Kluyveromyces lactis: one gene and its partner. Each later gene encodes a partner of the first gene's protein in a complex. Links are inferred from orthologs where the notes say so. Each region holds a gene or a part of one and is shown on either strand. Other genes may lie near its edges.

What was found. Proteins that work in one complex are often made in the same cells at the same time.
Region 2: MRPL20 (region 1) and IMG1 share a complex: the UniProt entries of both Saccharomyces cerevisiae proteins name them as parts of the mitochondrial large ribosomal subunit. The link is inferred for Kluyveromyces lactis from reciprocal best matches to the Saccharomyces cerevisiae genes MRPL20 and IMG1.

What each region holds. Positions count from the first base shown.
Region 1 is NC_006037.1:691,380-693,722, forward strand, and holds MRPL20 (mitochondrial 54S ribosomal protein mL58), read left to right. Parts: upstream 1-1,226; coding exon 1,227-1,820; downstream 1,821-2,343. Other genes in the region: DEAH-box RNA helicase PRP16, read right to left, coding at 1-671; KLLA0_A07777g (uncharacterized protein), read right to left, coding at 2,044-2,343. UniProt on the Saccharomyces cerevisiae protein: Component of the mitochondrial ribosome (mitoribosome), a dedicated translation machinery responsible for the synthesis of mitochondrial genome-encoded proteins, including at least some of the essential transmembrane subunits of the mitochondrial respiratory chain.
Region 2 is NC_006042.1:571,880-574,104, forward strand, and holds IMG1 (mitochondrial 54S ribosomal protein bL19m), read left to right. Parts: upstream 1-1,129; coding exon 1,130-1,645; downstream 1,646-2,225. Other genes in the region: BUD23 (18S rRNA (guanine1575-N7)-methyltransferase), read left to right, coding at 17-820. UniProt on the Saccharomyces cerevisiae protein: Component of the mitochondrial ribosome (mitoribosome), a dedicated translation machinery responsible for the synthesis of mitochondrial genome-encoded proteins, including at least some of the essential transmembrane subunits of the mitochondrial respiratory chain.

The sequences.
Region 1 (2,343 bases):
TCATTCAACGATAAGGAAGTTAATTGGATTTCAGGTTCATTCAAGTCAAGCTCTCTGTCGCCGCCTTCGTACGGATCTTGCTGAGCTGGTATATATTCATCATCGTGAATGACGTTATCAAAATCATCATCATTATCGTACCAATTTCTATCTTGTGCAGTAAAATCCTTGGCGTCCTTTATATCTTCCACATCACTACCTTCTGCATCGATAAGTGTGCCTTTGGTCGCTTCTTCTTTTTTTACCATGACCACTGGTTCAGTGTTTTCTGAAAACTCATTCAATTTTGCTGCAGTTTGCTTCGTAATACGTTTCAAAGTCAAAGGCTTGTTGAATTTTGGTTTCACTTGTACCTTCACAGTAGAAAGCTCATCTTCATCGTCGTCTTCCTTGTCATCCAACGGAAGTTTAACCACAAATTTTTTCCTTATGGTTCTTGCTGGAACAGCCGCTGATTCTGGCTTTGGAGACTGCTTATGTGCCTGTAATTTTTCAAAAAGTTGCTTCAAAAACTCATCTTTGCCCTTAAATTTCCCCAAAGCCTTAGCACCCCCGATGAACTTGTTTACATCCTTATGAATACGTGCAATCTGCCTTAAAGTCTCAACAAACTTCTCTGTCACTCTTGATTCCGTATTCTGTTGAATCCATTCTTGAAGTTCTGCATTCATCTAATTCTGTTGCTTGGTAAACCTACCACCTGGCGTAAAACCTGATGAGACAGAGCTGCTAATGAAGTATCACAAGGACTGTTTATGCCATTATTCTTGTCCCATCTCATAGCCTTTCAGCTCTTCCTGTTGTGAATAGGAACGACATTTGATGTTGATGTTGGGATTACCCGGCTTTCACGTGACAAAAGATACAGAATAGTCCAAATTGGCACTTCTAAAAGCTGCATAATATCGCCAATATAAGCCCTATTTTAACAGGTCAGCTCACACTCATTCATAGTACTAATCGATATTATATAGAAGCATCTTCAGGTAGGTATATCCACTAGAATAATCCTATATTTCTCGAAATAAACTGTTTTCCCATACTAATCCTGTCTGTCTCATCAGGATTTCTATCTGAAAAATTTGAAAGCATCAAACTGAAAGATTTAGAGTCTGCAGTGCGAAACATGGTGATTGATAGTTTAAATAACAAGTTTTAGACCCTTACACCAGGCTTATAATCCCCAATTACGCTGTAGAAATTACATTTGACATATTCGCTACAGTATGGTGAGACTATTTTCGACCAGCGCCCGTGCGGCCAAGGATCTTTCAAAGATAATTGATAAATCAGGTAAGTTACCTAAGATCGTTGGACCAGCTACCATTTACAATCCAAAATCATCTGCCTCCAATTACAAAGGTTATTTGAAAGCCAAGATTCCAGCAGGTCTATATTACGATCCAGCTCCATCCTCTATCCATGGTTCTACTAACTCAGAAACGATTCCAAAATCTTTCTTACCGGCCACTGATCCAAGGCACGACATTATAGATGACCTAACGCAAGGTAACGCAGAGATATCGAGGGTAGCGCCAGTGTTACATGAGAAGGGTGAGAAGACCTACCATTTGAAGCCTGAAGACATCGCTGAGATTAGAAGACTAAGACTGGAGGACCCGGTGAAAAACTCTAGAAAAGCTTTAGCAAAGAAGTTCAACTGTTCTCCGTTGTTCATCTCTATTGTTTCTGAACCACCCAAGGAAAGAAAGACAGAAATGAATCAAGTTCTTGAGACGATAAAGAGCCAATGGCATCCTAAGAGAGCATTGGCCAGAGCCGAAAGAAAAAAGAGAAAGGAACTCTGGTACAGAGCATGAGAAAAGGTAAAAGAAAACAACATACTGTATATCTGTAAATAGTAATAAGATAACCATCGACCTTATGTTTCAATCGTTAGTCATCAACTCTATTAAATGGCTTATAACATCTATATATATGCATGTAATATAATACAATGGAAGACGTGCAAAAATTAGTGTCTATCTCAATAAGTTACAGCTGGGGTCATTATCGTTAGGAAAAAATGATACATTAGTACCACTAATACCCATCGTACATCTCTTGGAAAATTTCGTACTCATCTCGGATTCTCAGGATTATATCTTCGAATAACTGCATCTGATACGCATCTTTTATTTGTAGTTCCAATGCAATCTGATGCCTATGCTGTCCCTCGCACAACATTGCTATCTGATACCATTTCTCCCTCCGCTGCAATACCGTATGCAGCTCCTTCAGATTCGATATCACCTGCGTCTCACAGAACAACCTCTCGTCGCTGTTTATATCCTCTTTATCAACTCCGTCCTCTTTATCCGAAACGAATCGAAACCTGTACAG
Region 2 (2,225 bases), on another chromosome or scaffold:
GAAGTTTGAGATCGAAATGTCACGTCCAGAAGATTTGGCACCACCAGAAGTGTTTTACAATGACAGTGAATCTAAGAAGTATAGTGGCTCCACAAGAGTGCAACATATTCAAGCTAAAATGACACTTCGGGCCTTAGAACTTCTCAACCTGCCACATACATCATATATCTTGGATATTGGGTGTGGGTCTGGTTTAAGTGGTGAAATCATCACTGAAGAAGGACATATATGGTGTGGATTAGACATTTCTCCTAGTATGTTAGCTGAAGCGCTAGAAAGAGAAGTTGAAGGTGATCTTATGTTACACGATATAGGTCAAGGTATTCCATTTAGAGCAGGTGTATTTGATGCGGCAATTAGTATATCTGTGATTCAATGGTTATGTAATGCGGACACATCGTACAACGATCCAAAGAGAAGGCTCATGAGGTTCTTCAATACACTATTTGCTAGTTTGAAGAAAGGAGGAAAATTTGTAGCACAATTCTATCCAAAGAATGATGATCAAATAGACCAAATCTTGGGAGCAGCAAAAGTAGCTGGATTCTCTGGTGGCCTTGTCATTGATGATCCCGAGTCCAAAAAGAACAAGAAGTACTACTTGGTATTAAGCTCCGGATCTACAGAACAGAATGAACAAGTCAACTTGGATGGTGTTAAGATGGATGCAGATCTAATGGTAAAGAGAGAGCGTAAAAAGAAACTAGTTGAATCAAGTAAGGATTACATCAACAGAAAGAAGGAGGTGATGAAAAAAAGAGGTAGAAAGGTAGCTCTCGACTCGAAGTTTACGGGTAGAAAGAGAAGACCTAGGTTTTAGTATGGTCTTGCATATATAGAATTAGTAGATACGCACTTAATACAATCAGCAAACATGGACTGAAACGTTATCATTCATTCACCATTTTCCGTGTCTATTGCATCTGCCATGATCAAAACGTTTAAAATGATCATCAAACCTATGTTGTAGTTTTCCATAGAAAGAACATTCGAAAATTTTGGTTAAAAAAGATGGAAACATAAGTACCTAAGAGTTAAGAAAGCACTGAAGCGCAGTTTATATTTGAGTTTAAGCCTTTACTACCCGTCAGATCAAGTTCCCATTCCAAAACTATATTAGTCCCATACAATGTTAAAGAGACTACTACCTACCGTTATCAGACAATCTGTTAGAAGTTATCAACTTCCAGCTAAGAGTGGAAGAAAGATTATTCCAGTTTACCCACCAGTTGAAAGAATATCCTCCCCATTAGTAGTGAAGACTCTAGCTGATCATGATCTAAAACAACTTGACCCAACTGGTGTAAAAACAGAGATGGTTTCAAAGAAAAACCCAAATCGTCTACGTGCAGGTGATGTTCTTCGTGTAGTTTACGATTCCAAGAAATGCAACTACGATAGTTTTACTGGATATGTGCTATCGGTAGACCGTAAGCCAATAGTACAAGACACATCCATTCTATTAAGAGATTATATTTATAAAACCTGTGTGGAAATGAGAGTGCCAATCTTCTCACCATTGGTAGAGAGAATTGATTTGATTAGAAGAGCGGATGGTAAGAGACGCAGAAGTAAACATTATTACATCAGAAACACCAGATTGGATGTCGGAGATTTGGAAGCAAGTATGAGAAAGAAGAAATGAGCACATTCACACTATCAAACACTTGCTGAATTTTCATAAAATGAAACATGTACATAGAAGCAATTCAAACATATAGTAAGTAATGCTCGATATCAATGCAAACCCAAAGACAAGGAAGATTCAAAGTTGAAAGAGCTCCAGAGTTGAACCATAATGCAAGGTACTCTATGCAGGTCCAGCTTCTCTAGGTAAAGTTATTTGTATCATTAGCATGTCGGGTGGATATATAATTGTATAATCTGTAAAATAAAAAGGCGGATTATGCTAGTCCTTATACCTCATCAAGTGCATCCAATAAGAAAGGAAAATCATGAGAAAGGATAAGCATAAGAAAGGATTTGTACGCTCTATCTAAAACAAAGCTGCATTGAGTGAGCAAGTTGCTCTATTAGAAATGAAAAGATTACAAGCAATTTTGGTCCGCATTTTTGATAATTTATGAAGGTTCTTGATTGGTTCAAAAAAGTAGTGGTATAATGTTATGAAAGCCGTACCAGCCGTCTCTATTGAAAAAAAATTGAAATAAGCTGACATTAAAAAACAACCATAACAGGTAAGGCAGCACGCCCGCATTTTTGAT